Linked DNA regions of Macaca fascicularis. The protein of the gene in region 2 purifies or fractionates together with the protein of the main gene of each other region. This does not show direct contact. Links are inferred from orthologs where the notes say so. Each region holds a gene or a part of one and is shown on either strand. Other genes may lie near its edges. The genes, in order: SNX30, SNX4 and SNX7.

Region 1 (5,742 bases), on a different chromosome or scaffold from region 2:
TGGGGGTGTCACTATATTGCCCAAGCTGGTCTTGAACTTATAGGCTCAAGTGATCCTCCCACCTTGGCCTCCCAAAGTGCTGGGATTACAGGTGTGAGGCACCCTACCTGATATATATATATATTCAACCAGACCCTACTCAGAATAGTAAAGCATATTTAATTACAAAAACTCTTTATTATTTCATAAGAATAGTAGAAGAAGTCTGACAGAAAGGGAAGGGAAGGTAGGTAGTTAACATTTAGGGAGCATCTATTCCATGCCAGCACTTGGCTAGGACTATGACATAAAGAATGCTATTTAACTCTCACAACCATCTCATAAGGTATTATTACCTGCTCTCCATTCTCCTCCTTTTCAGGTTAGGAACAGGTTCACTGAGGTTAGTAACTTGCTTATGGTCACCCACTTGTAGTGACAAAGCAGAATTCAAATGTGGTTCTTTTTTCACTTTCCCCTGGTGCCCTAAAGAGAAAGCTTGTATAGAGTCTTAATCCACACAGATCTCCATCATATTTAAGGCAGCCTGGTTGTTAAAATAAGTAGCACCATTCAATAAGAAAAACCTATGTTATACATCTATAGAATACTCATTTCTAGTTATATTGTGCTATTTGTTTTAATGCTAATTCAGAAGAACAGATAATAGGGTCTGTAGTAGTTGTAAGCAGTCCTTGAATGTGAAAGTGTTAACAATTTTAATCCAACTCCAAGAGGACCAGAACTTGGCATTCCTTAGATGCACCATTTAAAATTGTTCCCAGTGCCCTTTGAATGCTATTTTTTTCCCAGCCAAGGCAGGCTTATGTGGAGGAGATAAAGATGACAGCTTGAGGACTAAGGGTCCAGCCCTATATAAATTACATTGGGGGAAACAAGGGAAGGTCTTTGAAGCTCAGAGTCTCTGACTGATATTTTGGGTAGGTTTCAACCCTCTGCATTCTCTTCTACTTGTTTCTAGAGAAAACTGTGGTAGAGGCCTTAGTGAATCCCAGAGTCAAAATCTGTCATCACCTTTTAGCAGGTAAAGCTAGGCAAACCTTTGAGTTTGGAATGGGTAGGGAAAATGTGGTCCCTCACGATAAGCCTCCCTACCCATTACTTTGCTAGAGGGACTGAAAACCCTTTAAAGACTTGGCCTTGGAAACAGAAGATCTAGGGACAGGTAAGGTGGAAAAAGGAGGTTAATCTACACCCCAATGGGCTGGAAGTAACACCTTGACTATTTGCACCATGCCAGCAAATAAAGCTGAGAATCAGCTCAGCCCAAGGCCTGGAAAGGAAACACAAATGCATGAAAAATAACTTGAACCTCATGGTTCTTTCAAAAGTCTCTTCGGCGAAAGTGTGAGTTGAAGAGTCGTATATCATTTGCAGCTCTATCCTCATGCTCACTCTTCTGAGGTTTGACTTTACACAAACCTTGGTCAGCTGCAGAAGCAAGACACAATGGGGACCTCAGAGTGAGGCTGAAGACTCCCCACACCCCCTCCTTGAAGCCCCTTCCAGGTTCCCCACCCGATGTCCTCTAGCTCCTTTGAGCCTCGTCGCCCTTTATGCTATTCTTCCGATATGGGTCGTAATTCCGTCTATTTTGGGTTCTTCCTGCGCGTGCCTTAGAGGCCATAAGACCCTGACTCACGTGCGTGTCCTCAAAGCCGCCAGCCCCAAGCGTGGCTGCTGGTGGGCGCATCAGTAAAAGCGAGTGGAACGGAGCAGGCTCCTCCAACCTCTTTTCCACCTCTGATTTCCGTTAAACATTTGCTCCGCACGGCGGCCTCCGCGAGGCAACGTTGGACACTGGGAGGACAGACGCAGAGGCCCACAGCGCACTTCCTGCCGGGCGGGGGCGGGGCTGCACCTCCTCCCTCCCTCTCTCCCTCCCTCCTTCCCTCCCTCCTTCCCCACGTGCCCCCTCCCCGCTCCCCCCGCCCTCCCCGCCCCCTCCCGGGCAGCCGCGGCGCCTCGGGGGCGGGGCCGGAGCGGGTGGGCGGCGTGGCTGTGCGGGCTGGGCGCCGCGGCCGTGCTGCCAGCGGACCCGCGGCGGGCTAGGGCGCGGAGCGGGGACGCGCGGCGCGGAGCTGAGCGTCTCAGCGCCGGCAGACACTAGCCGGCGGGTGGCAGCGGCTCCCGGCCCGGCCGGTGGAAGGCCTCGGGCTGAGCGGCGGCCGAGCGGGGCTCGGCCCGGGGCGCTCGGGGAGCTCGCAGCGGCGGGCAGCAGGAGGAAGCGGCGGCGGCGCGTCCCGAGCGGTGCGCGCCATGGCGGGCGGGCCCCCCAAGGCCCTGCCGTCCACGGGGCCCCACTCCCTGCGCGACATGCCGCACCCGCTGGCCGGCTCCAGCAGCGAGGAGGCCGTGGGTGGTGACAGCACGCCCAGCCCGGACCTGCTGATGGCCCGCAGCTTCGGTGACAAGGTGGGGCGCCTGGGGCTGGGGTCTGGGAGGCTTATTTCGCTCCCCGTTGGGGGGATGATGGATCCGGAGCCTTCCTGGGCCTGGGGCCGCGCCCACCCTGCCGCCCCTTCCCGGGGGACTGGCGTGCCCTGGCCCCGGAGCTCTCGGCGAAAGCGTCTCCTCTGCCGCCTCCGCGGGGTCGCAGCCGCAGAGGGACGGGTTTCGCTGCCTGTGACTGGTCGCGAGCGCCGGTGACAGCTGGTGGGGAGGGGTCCAGCCTGCGTGTTGGGGCGGGAGGCGCGTGTGCAGGGCAGGGCGCCTGTGTCCTCGGATGGGGTTCCGAGTTCCTCCAGGTGCATCCCTGCAGGCTGAGCTGCTGCATAACTTGTAGCTCCTCCAGTTTCCTGAGACTGCACAGAAGCAGGAGTTCATGGCTTTCCGTGCTGGGACCGGGCAGCCCTGGGCTTACAGCGAGAGTCTTCTTCCCCCGAGTCAGTCATGTGGGGAGTGATCTTTGTTTAGGTTTGCTGTTTGTCCTGAGGAGTCACCTGACTCAGACCCCAGCCGGCGGCGGGAGGAGAGCCTCGTTGTGGTTTTCTGTCTGGGGCTCCATTCACCTCCGACGGCCTACCACTCTGTTTAGGTTTGGCAGCGGCTGGTTTTGTGGTTGATGGAAAGAAAGCTCGCCCTTTGACCTTCTTTGTACAGAGGGAGGCTCCAGATTTTCTTGGAGCAGCACAACCCTCCTGCTGCTTGGAGACACAGCAGAGTCCAGGCAGGGGTAAGGGACGGCCTCCTCCCTATCTCCATGGCCATTTCAGCTGTGAAGGGGACTTGAGCAGTGATTGTATCCTCGCTCCTGCTGTCGCTTAGTCGCTAACTGCAGAAATTAGCATTGTTCTCAGGTCTTGTGATCAAGATTTTCTCTCCCTAGTAAAATACTAAATGGATTCCCCCTTGTCCCAATATTAATGGGAGCAGGGGACCTAACTTTCTTCTCCCGTCAGAGGGGACACCATGTGGTACAGTAAAAAAATGAGTATGAGAAAATATAACCTGCCCGCCTTGCAGCACTTAAAATCACTAGAGAGTGGGACTTGACTTGATGTACCTTCTGCACAGGGTTTGTGAAAGCTGGGAGTGAAGTTCCAAAGCATTAGGGACAGGAACATTTAAAAAAGCTAATGGAGGCCGGGTGCAGTGGCTCACAACTGTAATACCAGCACTTTGGGAGGCTGAGGCAGGATGATTGCTCTGGGCCAAAAGTTTGAGACCTGCCTGGGCAACATATTGAGACCCCATCTACACACACACACACACACACACACACACACACACACACACACACTATGGTGGCATGCACCTGTAGTCCAGGCTACTCAGGGAGGCTGAGGCTGGAGGATTGCTTGAGCCCGGGAGTTCAGGGCTGCAGTGAGCTATGATTGCACCGCTGTACTCCAGCCTGGGCAAGAGAGTGAGACCCTGTCTCCAAAAAATGTTGAATGACTGAATAAATTTGCTTTCTTATGGACAAAAATTGGTCTTAAAATAGTGTAGGAACTGGGGTTAAACCTCATTTCCTTCTCAGTTCTGTGTAGGATACTGAATTAATTATCTATTGCTGTGTAGCAAATTACCCCCAAAACTTACCACCTGGAAATAGTGTCTGTGGGACAATCTGAGTGGTTCTGAATTAGGCCTTTCTTGAGGTTGCAGTCATCTGAAGGCTGGATTAGGGGAGGATCCACTTCTAAGCTCACTCACATGGCTGTTGGCAGGCCTTAGTTACTCTCCATAGGGCTGTTGGATGTGGCAACTGGTTTTCTCCCCTAGAGCAAGTGATCCAAGAGAGCCCAAGACTCTAGCCAGTCTTGTATAACTTACCTTGGAAATGACATGCCTCTGATGTATTCTGTCGGTCACACAGATTGACACTGGTACAATGTGGGGAGACGGTGTGAATACCAGGGTGTGCATACCAAGAGGTGGGGATCATTGGGCCATCTTGGAGACTGACTACTACAGATAGCTATTTTAAATATTTGCTTAACGAATCACTCATGGATGATACCTGACTCAGAAGTATGGGTGTTTTACTAGTAAGTACTTGGAAGACAAATTCTCCGTACCACCAAGATCTAGTTAGTGGTCAAGAAGTCAGTCTCAGGTCTAATTACTGATGGCTTCCTTTAAAGGGTCTGTTCTGTGTGGGAGGTTGAGTCTTGGAGGCATTCTTAATTATTGAATATATATGTATTTTTTGAGACAGAGACTCACTCTGTCACCCAGGCTGGAGTGCAGTGGCCTGATCCTGACTCACTGCAATCTCCACCTCCCTGGTCGAAGTGATTCTCGTGCCTCAGCTCTCGTGTAGCTGGGATTACAGGCGTGTGCCACCTTGACTGGGTAATTTTTGTATTTTTAGTAGAGACGAGGTTTCGCTATGTTGGCCAGACTAGTCTCGAACTCCTGGCCTCAAGTGATCTGCCCGCCTTGGCCTCCCAAAGTGCTGGGATTACAGGCGTGAGCCACGGTGCCTGGCCTAATTATTGAATATTTATTAAATCTCCTAACAGCTGTGGGGAGCATCTAAATGACACCATTCTCAAGGGCCCGATTTATAGTAAGCCACTTTTCCTTAGAGGCTAAGCATTGTAATTTCTTTCTCTGACTAGGAGTAACATTTTCCTTGAATCTTGGCATCCCCGTATGGTCTCATAACTCTGAAGAAATTTCTGTAGAGAGAAGCTAGCAAGCCACAGAGGTGAGTCAGAGCCAGAAGAAGGAAGCCTTCCCTGTGGCTGGCTTTCTCCTGCCTCAGCAGCATGAGGGTCATCAAAGGGGTGGTAGGACACTTCAGTGCTATGGTCTGTCTTTGAAAAGAAGCCAGTTTTGTCTTATTAGATACTAGGGTTGTGATCCTGGATGACAGGGATTCTGGGTCAGTTCTGGGCTAGAGGAATGAAGATTTGACAGGCTGATCATAGTACAGGGTTATTATGCAGAGGGGAATTGCTTTCTGAGGGGCCAAGATGGTGCTATGAACAGGGTAGCCTTGTGTCTTGGTCCAGCTGACACTTGTGAATGAACTCTGTAGTGCTTGGGTAGAAGAGAAAGACCAAATATGATGGACTGTCCACCAGTTTCTCAAATTTTTCAAATCATGGTGTGATGCCTCCCTTCATAGGCTCCCAAAGGAGGAATCCTTTCTATCTACCAGAGGTTGCCAGGACTAATTCTTTTGATGCCTGCTAAACTCACCTTTTTTTTTTTTTTTTCTTTTTTTTGAGACAGAGTCTTGCTGTTGCCCAGGCTAGAGTGTAGTGGTGGAATCTCACTACATCTTCT
Region 2 (5,236 bases):
TCTGATCAATTTAGAAAAAGGAATTATTTTCCCAGAATAGGTGGCTTTTGGACAGTTACCCTGTCACTTTTTTTTTTTTTTTTTTTTTTTTGAGACAGAGTAGAGTTTGGCTGTGTCGCCCAGGCTGGAGGGCAGTGGCGTGATCTCGGCTCACTGCAGCCTCTGCCTCCCAGGTTCAAGCGATTCTCCTACCTCAGCCTCCCAAGTATCTGGGATTACAGGCGCCCGCCAACACACTCGGCTAATTTTTGTATTTTTAGTAGAGACAGGGTTTCACCATGTTGGCCAGGCTGGTCTGAAACTCCTGACCTCAGGTATTCTGCCCGCCTCAGCCTCTCAAAGTGCTGGGATTACAGGCATGAGCCACCGCTGTCCTGTCACTTTTAAAAGCAGTATAAGAATTCTGTTAGAAAAACAAAAGATCACTATTCCCTTACCTGTATGGTGACTGGTGTGAAATCATCTGCACATTGTTAGCTTGTTTTCCTTCTAGGGCTTTGAGTAGTAGGAAGTCTCACCAATGTATTTTCAAGTCACCAAGCAAAAGAAAGTTGGCCGGGTGAGGTGGCTCCTGCCTGAATCCCAGCACTTTGGGAGGCCGAGGCAGATAGATTACCTGAGGCCAGGAGTTCGAGACCAGCCTAGCCAACATGGTGAAACACCATCTCTACTAAAATTATAAAAAAGTTAGCCAGGCATAGTGGTGGGTGCCTGTAATCCCAGCTACTGGAGAGGCTAAGGCTTGAACGGGGGAGGTGGAGGTTGCAGTGAGCCGAGATCACATCATTACACTCTAGCCTGGACAACAGAGCGAGACTGCATCTCAAAAAAAAAAAAAGAGAAAATTTCTGAGTACAGTGGAATTCTCTGCAGCTCTTAAAAATTATAAAAAGGATTAAGGTATATTGACATGGAAAGATGGCCAGGATATATAGCCATGTGAGAAAAGAGGTAGGAACCATTTGGGGTGTGTGGATATGGTATTTGTCAATGCCTAGCTAAATTCTGGAAGGTTATGTACTATCTGGTAACACAGATTATATCTGGATAGTGGGATTGGAGGAAAGAGTGTTCTTGAACTTTCTTTTTGTATTTTGTATTTTTTATTTTTTTGAGACGGCGTCTCACTCTGTTGCCCAGACTGGAGTGCAGTGGCACAATCTCTGCTAACTGCAACCTCTGCCTCCTGGGTACAAGTGATTCTCCTGCTTCAGCCTCCCAAGTAGCTGGAATTACAGGCATGCGCCACCACCCCCGGCTAATTTTTGTATTTTTAGTAGAGATGGGGTTTTATCACATTGGTCAGGCTGGTCTCGAACTCCTGACCTCAGGTGATCTGCCCACCTCAGCCTCCCAAAGTGCTGGGATTACTGGCGTGAGCCACCACGCCCAGCCTCTTTTTTTTATTTTGTGCATTGCTGTATTAGAATCTTTTTACAGTGAACATGGGTTACTTTTATGATCATAAAAACTATAAACATTTCTAGGCCGGGCGACATGGCTCACGCATATAATCCTAGCACTTTGGGAAACTGAGGTGGATGGATTGCTTGAGCCCATGAGTTTGAGACCAGCCTGGGCAACATGGGCGAGACCCCATCTCTACAAAGCACAAATTAGCTGGGCGTGGTGGCACATGCCTTAGTCCTAGCTACTTAGGAGGCTGAGGTGGGAGGATTGCCTAAACCCAGGAGGCAGAGGTTGCTGTGAGCCAAGATTGCACCACTGCACTCCAGCCTGGGTGACAGAGTGAGACCTTGTCTCCAAAAAAAAAAAAAAGCTAATAGACATTTTCTAAATCACAAAGAAGAAAACTTTGAGGTATTATTTTTTCTAAGAATACTCAGTGCTATGTGAGATTACAGCATTAGTTCTTACATTATATTAAAAAATGTTTTATGTATGTGATAATGGCATGTTTATTGAAAGAAATGTTCCAAGTATCTATAAAACAACTTTTTTTGTGTTAAGAATATATGACGTTTTTGGCGGGGTGCAGTGGCTCATGCCTGTAATCCCAGCACTTCAGGAGGCCGAAGTGGGCAGGTCACATGAGGTCAGGAGTTTAAGATCAGCCTGACCAACATGGAGAAACCCCGTCTCTACTAAAAATACAAAATTAGCTGGGCATGGTGGTGCATGCCTGTAATCCCAGCTACTCAAGAAGCTGAGGCAGGAAAATCATTTGAACCCGGGAGGTGGAGGTTGCAGTGAGCCAAGATCACGCCATTGCACTCCAGCCTGGGCAACAAGAGCAAAACTCTGTCTCCAAAAAAAAAAGAATATACGAAGTTTTTATGGTTAGATTTTGCTAGATTCCACTTCTAATGTTGGGCTACTGCATTCTAAACTTGAAAATTCTGGGCACACACGTTCTGCCCTAGTGAGACGTTGTGAATGGTTCTCCTCTACCCTTGAAAAATATGTTTGACATGTTAAAGAAAAAGTTAAATGGCAGCACATTTTTTCATCTGTAGGGCTGTGTGCAGGAAACATGAACTTATGCAGTATGACTTGGAGATGGCTGCTCAGGACTTAGCGTCCAAGAAGCAGCAGTGTGAGGAACTGGCAACTGGGGTGAGTATTTTTCTTTTGGCCTCTGATGATATTGTAGCAACATGGAATGTTCCTCACAAGCACTCACTCTAAGTGAGTAACTCACTCCTGTGGAATCAGCTTCAGTTGCAATACTCAGGACGGCTGCACCTTTTACAGGGGAATAATTTGTGAGTAACTTTATAATTATTTTGTTATTATCTTGATACAAAAAGATGTAAGCCATTTAAAACCATGTACTGTATAGAATTATAAGAAATTTTGCCAACATTTCTCTGCTGTAATCAGTATCATCTGGTTTCTTTAAAAAAAAAAAAGTTAGCTGGGCATGGTGGCTCACGCCTGTAATCCCAGCACTTTGGGAGGGCGAGGCGGGTGGATCATGAGGTTAGGAGATCAAGACCATCCTGGCTGGCCGGGCGCGGTGGCTCAAGCCTGTAATCCCAGCACTTTGGGAGGCCGAGACGGGCGGATCACGAGGTCAGGAGATCGAGACCATCCTGGCTAACACGGTGAAACCCCATCTCTACTAAAAAATACAAAAAAAAAAACTAGCCGGGCGAAGTGGCGGGCGCCTGTAGTCCCAGCTACTTGGGAGGCTGAGGCAGGAGAATGGCGTGAACCCGGGAGGCGGAGCTTGCAGTGAGCTGAGATCCGGCCACTGCACTCCAGCCTGGGCGACAGAGCATGACTCCGTCTCAAAAAAAAAAAAAAAAAAAAAAAAGACCATCCTGGCTAACATGGTGAAACCCCATCTCTACTAAAAATACAAAAAATTAGCCGGGAGTGGTGGCGGGCACCTGTAGTCCCAGCTACTCGGGAGGCTGAGGCAGGAGAATGGCGTGCACCTGGGAGGCGGAGCTTTCAGTGAGCTGAGATCGTGCCACTGTACTCCAGCCTGGGCAACAGAGCAAAACTCTGTCTCAAAAAATAAATACATAAATAAAATTAAAAAAAAAAAGTTTATTGGGCTGAGCACTGTGGCTCACACCTGTAATCCCAGCACTTTGGGAAGCCAAGGCTGATGGATCACCTGGGGTCAGGAGTTCGAGACTAGCCTGGCCAACATGGCGAAACCTGATCTCTACTAAAAATACAAAAATTAGCCAGGTGTGGTTGCTTACACCTGTAGTCCCAGCTACTCGGAAAGCTGAGGCAGAAGAATTGCTTGAACCGGAGAGGCGAAGGTTGCAGCTAGCCGAGGTCAGACTATTGCACTCTAGCCTGGGTGACAGAGTGAGACTCCATCTCAAAAAAAAATTGTTTTTATTTATTTTTATTTTTTGAGACAAGGTCTGGCTCTGTCGCCCAGGCTGGAGTGCAGTGGTGTGATCAGGGCTCATGGAAGCCTCAAACTCCTGGGGTCAAGCGATCCTCCTGCCTCAGCCTCTTGAGTAGCTGGGACCACAGGCATGTGCCGCCGCCCCCCGGCCTGGCTGATTTTGTTTATAGTCTCATCGTGTTGACCAGGGTGGTCTCAAACTCCTGGACTCAAGTGATCCTCCCACCTCAGCCTCCCAAAGTGCTAGGATTACAAAGGTAAGCCACCATGCCTAGTCAGTCATCTGGTTTCTAAGTCCAAGTGAAAAAACATGCAATGACCTTTATCAGGTTTAACTTTGCAAGGTACTTTGTAGAAATTTGAGTTGACTTTGAAAAGCCTTACCCACTTAGAACCAGTGCATCTTGCCTAACAGGGAGCTTTTGATGTATTTTATTCTTTAATGCTTACAGTGAGTACTTGTGAGGAAAATTCTATATCTGGTTGCATTAGTCTTGGATCATTTTTATAATAAGCTTTCTACTCTCCGGTTATTTCCTTGCAATAAATTAGCCATCATGGTGAGCAACACATTCTGAAAGTAGTAAACCGGCAGCAGTGTCTCTCCTTAGTTAATAAGCACTGTAGTTTTGTTTTTTTTTTTTTCCTTAGATGAAGTCTCATTCTGTCACCCAGGCTAGAGTGCAGCTCACTGCAAGCTCCACCTCCTGGGTTCACACCATTCTCCTGCCTCAGCCTCCCGAGTACCTGGGACTACAGGTGCCCGCCGCCACACCTGACTAATTTTTTTGTGTGTTTTTAGTAGAGACGGGGTTTCACCGTGTTAGCCAGGATAGTCTCAGTCTCCTGACCTCGTGATCCATCCGCCTCGGCCTCCCAAATTGCTGCAGGCGTGAGCCACCGCACCTGGCCAAGCACTGTAGTTTTAAAAGTGCTTTTCACATATATTACCTACTGGTTACATCTATGAAAAGTCATAATATATGTGGGGAAAGACTTGTGACCGGGACACATGTATAAACTAGGCCCTTGGTTTATTTTTAAAATTCAGTGGGAGAAGTTCCCAGGCCATTTTCAGGGAGCTTGGTTCCCTATTCCTGCATGTCAAGGGAAAAGTGTTTTCTTCAGTAAACTCCAGAAAGTGAGGAAATGTTAAAGCAGTGAAGCTTGAGGCTGCCTTCCAATGCTTGGATTTAGGTATCCTGTTTTATTAATAGATGCCCAAGTTTGAGCGTGAGTTGTGCAGATTTTAAATATGCTTCTTTAGTTTGGTTTATTTCCATAGTTGCCTAGTGAATTTATCTACTTTTTTATAACAAAGTAATTTTTAAAAATACGAACATTCATACAGAGTAAGAAATAACTTGTCTAATATTTCACGTGGAAGTTTTCCATTTG
Region 3 (5,236 bases), on a different chromosome or scaffold from region 2:
ATTGACACTATAGTTGACCCTTGAACAACATGGCAGTTAGGGAAGCCAACCCCTTATGAAGTTGAAAATCCATGTGTAACTTTTAATTCCCCAGAAACTTTACTAGCAGCCTCCTGTTGATTGGAAGCCTTAACTATACCATAAACAGTTGGTTAACACATATTTATATCTTTTGTGTATTATATACTGTATTTTTTGCAGTAAAGTAACCTAGAGAAAAGAAAAGGTTATTTAAGAAAATCCTAAGGAAGAGAAAATACACTAACAGTATCCTACTGTATCTATTGATACCATAAGTTTATGTTGTCTGTCTACCAGATGAATTGTCAGTCTGAAATGGAGGGCAATGACAGTGGCAGACCTCAATGTATGGTACTTAGCAAGCAATTCAACTTTTTTTGTAATGCCATGACTTTTCTCTGCTTCTTGGGAACATTTCCAGCATCACTAGTGGCACTTCATATGGGTCCCATGGTATTATTTCAGGTTTATAGTATTGCACTAAACACAATAAAAAATACATGGGAACCACAAGAGATCACTTTTTACTGCTATACCCGATTTACTGGAGAGATGAACTACTCGCACGGAGATGATCAGCGTCACATGGCGTTTTAAGCGGATATTCGCAACACTTCAGCTAGCCACAAATAGCAACAGGAGGGCTACAAAAATAGTACAGTAGTACAGTGTGTACTGTAGTTAATTTTAATCGGTTTTGATTTAATACAGCATCTTTATGTTTGTTTATGTTTCTCTCAACTGCAAATGGTGGCATGTGAGCCAAAATATGTGCACACGTTTTGATAAATGTTAACTTTTTATAATTGATTTATATACATTTTAGGGTAGTAAATGATAGACTAGTATCTACATATATTTTGTGCATTCATGACATACCTTTCTCTCCGGTTTTTCTACATTTCTAGACTATGTGGTTTGTGAGTTGTTTTTAATTGTTGCAAATCTCCAAAAAATTTTCCAATATATTTATTGAAAAAAGTCCACATGTGTGGACCTGCTCAGGTCACACCTGTGTTGTTCAAGGGTCTACTTTATTTTGAGTAATAATGGATCAGGGCTTTTTAAGCTAGGATAAAAGTCCTTATTAAATGGGTAGATGGATGAATGGAGATAGATGAATGGATGGATGGATGGATGGATGGATGGATGGATGGATGGACAGATGGATGGACAGATAATATAATCTCCTTACTTTTCCTTTAATTATCTAAGTGGGAGAGTGCCTAATTTCTAATATGGAAACCTTATCCATTCTACTTGTTTTTTCTTTTATTCTATAAAGCTATAACTCTGCAAGAAAGATACCAGATAGGACAAAGAGTCAATATTAAACAGTTACTGACAAATGTTGAGTTTTATATCTCTCAGTTATTGCCAGTGGTGGAAGCTAAAAAGTGGTTCATTTCAATCTTGACAGATAGTCCTGCTCTATGGAAGCCCTTTGTGACTTATGTGAAATGAATATGTGGCCTGACTTCAGAACTTAGAAGCTGTTAGAAATATTCTCTACAGTCAACAGTTTCAGTAACAGCTTGCCAGTTGTGACGTGAGCTGTCTCTGATAATGTTTACTCTATCAAATGAGGCTGTAGTACTCTTGGATGGATGTGTTGCCTGGTCAAGGATGGCATCTGTTGTTATTGGCACAAAAAAAACACACTGAATTGGAAATAAACAAGTTTACTTTGTATGTATTATTTTCTGTAAGATATTCAGGAACGAAAACCTGGAAGAAGATAGACAATGTGTTATTTAATATTTGGGTAAATAATATATGATATTTTTATCTGTAGATTAGGTAGTCAGCAGTATTTTATTTGATCCCAAGCTTGTGTTTCAACAAAGGCCATAACCATTATTAGAATCCCTTGTCCTTTCTTTTGTTTTTATTTGTTCTTTTATCTTATGCCATACTTCTCAAGGGATATGTTTGTGTGTAATATATTCTTTTATAGGATTTCTTCTATCTGTTTTTCAAGTCTATAGTTATTCCTCCTAGGTTAAGTATGAAATAACTAGTTACGTTCCTTATTAAAAATTTTCTCTGCAGACAACCAGCCAGTGAAGGCGGTGTCACAGTTTACCCGCTTCATTTGGTTGAAGTGCTATAGTCAGGTAGTATCTATTGACAAACTACCCTAATGACTTTAAGTGGGCAGAGCAAGTTGGTGCTTAATAATGAAGTCTCTGGAATCAGACTTCCAGGATTCCAGTTCTTGCTCTATCACTTAATTGCTCTAGGATCTTGAGCAAGTTACTTAACTTTCCTGTGCCTCTATTTTCTTCTGTAAAATGAGGAAAATAATAAAACCTACCTCATAGGTTTATGGTAAATTACGTATATTAAAATGTCAGTATAGTGCCCAGAATGTATTAAGCTCTAAATAAATGTTAGCTACTATTACATCTAAAGAATTAATGAAGTTTTCCAATTTTATTTTTCAGAGTATAACTTAGGCCCTGAGAAATCTTATCTCAATCATTTTCCATTAAATTCCTGTTATAAAATATAGATGGTATGTCATATTATCCTTGTCTTCTCTAGTATCTCACTGAGCACTATTCTGTCTGTTAAACCCTGTTCTTTTAAAGATTTATGGTCTGAGGAACGACTGTATACCTGTTTTACATGAGTCCTGTGAAAGGGAATATTATCAAGGAGGCTGCCAGTTGGGACACTGTACCTTAATAAAGCTCATCTGCTTCAAGCTAACACTAAATGCCTATGAAACCATTTTATCTTAATTTTATTCTCCTAATTAGGTTTCTTTTTGTATTGAGTCTCGGAATATTGAGACATGTTTCACTAGAAATATTTTGTTTTTTGTTTCTAGGAACTCTCTTCTCACAAGAAGCAAGGTCCCGGATTGCTAAGCAGGATGGGGCAAACAGTCAGAGCTGTTGCATCCTCAATGAGAGGAGTTAAAAACCGCCCAGAGGAGTTCATGGAAATGAATAACTTTATTGAACTATTTAGCCAGAAAATAAATTTGATAGATAAAATATCTCAGAGAATTTATAAGGAAGAAAGGGGTAAGTAGAATTACTGAAATGTGTTTTCACAGTTGTTCAGTTTCTAATGAATCTTCACATTTGTTCGTGTAGTATAGCAACATGCAGTTAGAATGTCAGCTTCAAAGTGTGGCTTATTCCCAGCCATGTTATGGACATTTGTGATTCCTAAATGATTTCAAAGGTAGTTATGGCCAGTCTCCATTTTCACTTTTATCAATCACTAGCTGCTCTACTTCCCATTCATAGATAATAGTGGTAAAGTAAGCCCTGAGTTTATGACTGTGGATGTAGTTTTATGAAGTTTGTATTCAACATGGCACAGAGCTCAGAATCAAAGAAGTGATGTTTCAGGAAATAGGTTTTCACATTTTCTGGTAATTATTTTTTTCTGGAGGGAACAGGTATTCTGTATTATACTGTCAAAGTATGGCAGAGAGATTTATGTATTGGAAAATCTGCCTCTTTTCCTATTTTCTTTTTTTTTTTTTTTTTAGTTTATAAGTCAGAATTTATGATGAATTTCTTCTAATTCTAATCATGTGATTTTTTCACTAATTTTCTAATTGCATTTACTTACATTAAAAAATAGATAACTGAGTCAGCAAATAATTTCCTAATATAATTTGTTATTAGAGATCAGGAACTACATAAAGACAAACAAAAGTCCCTAAGTTAATGGCTTATTTGTTAATTGACTTCTACTTAACTGTACTGCCCATCAGGATAAGCTGGGAAATATTTTATTTCTAGTATTCAGATGGTGTTTAATCATAATAAGCACTCAATTAAAATTTGTTCAATGATTGAAAAAAAACACGAATGAACATAAGATTTGGAATGGTGTAGGAAAATGTGCTTTATTAAGAATTGATTGGTTTTAAAAAGAGATACAGAAAAAACTTATAACTGAATGTACTTTGCCCCTTTTCTACCTTTTTTATTCATGCGTTGACACCTGATGAGATTACTGTAGTGACTGAATATAGTATAATAATTTGTTTTAAACCTCCTTGGTTTGCCCTTACATTTATTATTTGTCTTTTTTTTTTTTTTAACCTGAAGAGGTGAATTATTTTAACTAGGTTCTGTGATTCCAGTTCTATTAAGTAGATTCTGGCTGCGTAGTTAGGTGGTATGGCAATTCAAAGAGATCTCTGGAAACTATTGGTAGTTAAGAGCTTTATAAGCTAACAGTGAGTATCAAAGAGTAATTAAGATGGTACCTGTTAAGCTCACAGTCTAGTTAGGAAATATGTATATTAACAGACAAATTACAGTGCAGCTAACTAAATGCTTGCATACAGATGTGATTTGAATGGTATGTAAGTGCAGTTTAGAATTTTAGGGCAGCTTTGCATATAAACATAAATATTGTTCAGGTTTAATGACAGATATTGACATACATTGAGAAATTTGAGATTTCTCAATTGACTCAATTGAGAAAAGAAAGTGGAAAATTTTCTTTTCTAGAAATTAGTTCAGTATGGTCATTATTTACCAGAAAGACAGGCCTAGGATCAGGAAGGTGGAGTTTGGAAGGACTATAGAGGTGATTAAATGTTCATTAGGTAACAACTAGTATCTACATTGTTTTTAAATTTCATATTTTTAAACTTTTTATTTAATACAAACTTTTAAAGTTTTAATAGTTTAATTGTTTAGAGAAATATGACAGATATCAGCAAATCCTAATGAGTTGTAAGATGGCTGAATATAGACAATTTAATTGTATTTATATGGATAGTGAACAAAAAATGCTCACTGCTTATACATTTTCTACACAAAAAGCCATACATTACTGAAAATTAAGTGTGAAAGTAAAAATGTTAAGTTGTAAAGATATTCACATTTTAAAATGAAATCCAAATTTTTGAATATATAGCGTATCAAAAACTGAATGGTCTTTGGTTACTCATATATGCATTCTTTCATTGATACGAAAATATTTATTGAACTCATTACACATAAGGGTTTGAGATAGCAAAATAGTAAGACTCAGTCCCTGTTTTAAGGAGTATGTGGCCAAGAGCATTTGAGTTATAAGACATCGATAATACAGTGGGATAATGCTTTAATAGAAGTATAAAATTATGATAGGTATGATGGGCTCATTGAGGGCCAAAGCATCTATGAATCCTTTGGAACAGAATCAGAGATTTATTTGAACTGAAATTTAAAGGATTAGAAGTAGTTTGTCA

The links.
Region 1: the proteins of SNX4 (region 2) and SNX30 purify together in Homo sapiens (co-immunoprecipitation; 4 studies listed by BioGRID and IntAct, counting the BioPlex papers as one, with this or other methods). This does not show direct contact. The link is inferred for Macaca fascicularis from reciprocal best matches to the Homo sapiens genes SNX4 and SNX30.
Region 3: the proteins of SNX4 (region 2) and SNX7 purify together in Homo sapiens (affinity purification with mass spectrometry; 3 studies listed by BioGRID and IntAct, counting the BioPlex papers as one, with this or other methods). This does not show direct contact. The link is inferred for Macaca fascicularis from reciprocal best matches to the Homo sapiens genes SNX4 and SNX7.

The regions. Positions count from the first base shown.
Region 1 is NC_088389.1:45,333,030-45,338,771, reverse strand, and holds the start of SNX30 (sorting nexin-30), read left to right. Parts: upstream 1-2,028; 5' UTR 2,029-2,259; coding exon 2,260-2,415; intron 2,416-5,742. UniProt on the Homo sapiens protein: Involved in the regulation of endocytosis and in several stages of intracellular trafficking. Together with SNX4, involved in autophagosome assembly.
Region 2 is NC_088376.1:157,794,072-157,799,307, forward strand, and holds part of SNX4 (sorting nexin-4), read left to right. Parts: intron 1-2,477; coding exon 2,478-2,577; intron 2,578-5,236. UniProt on the Homo sapiens protein: Involved in the regulation of endocytosis and in several stages of intracellular trafficking. Plays a role in recycling endocytosed transferrin receptor and prevent its degradation.
Region 3 is NC_088375.1:135,687,605-135,692,840, reverse strand, and holds part of SNX7 (sorting nexin-7), read left to right. Parts: intron 1-2,857; coding exon 2,858-3,056; intron 3,057-5,236. UniProt on the Homo sapiens protein: Involved in the regulation of endocytosis and in several stages of intracellular trafficking. Together with SNX4, involved in autophagosome assembly by regulating trafficking and recycling of phospholipid scramblase ATG9A.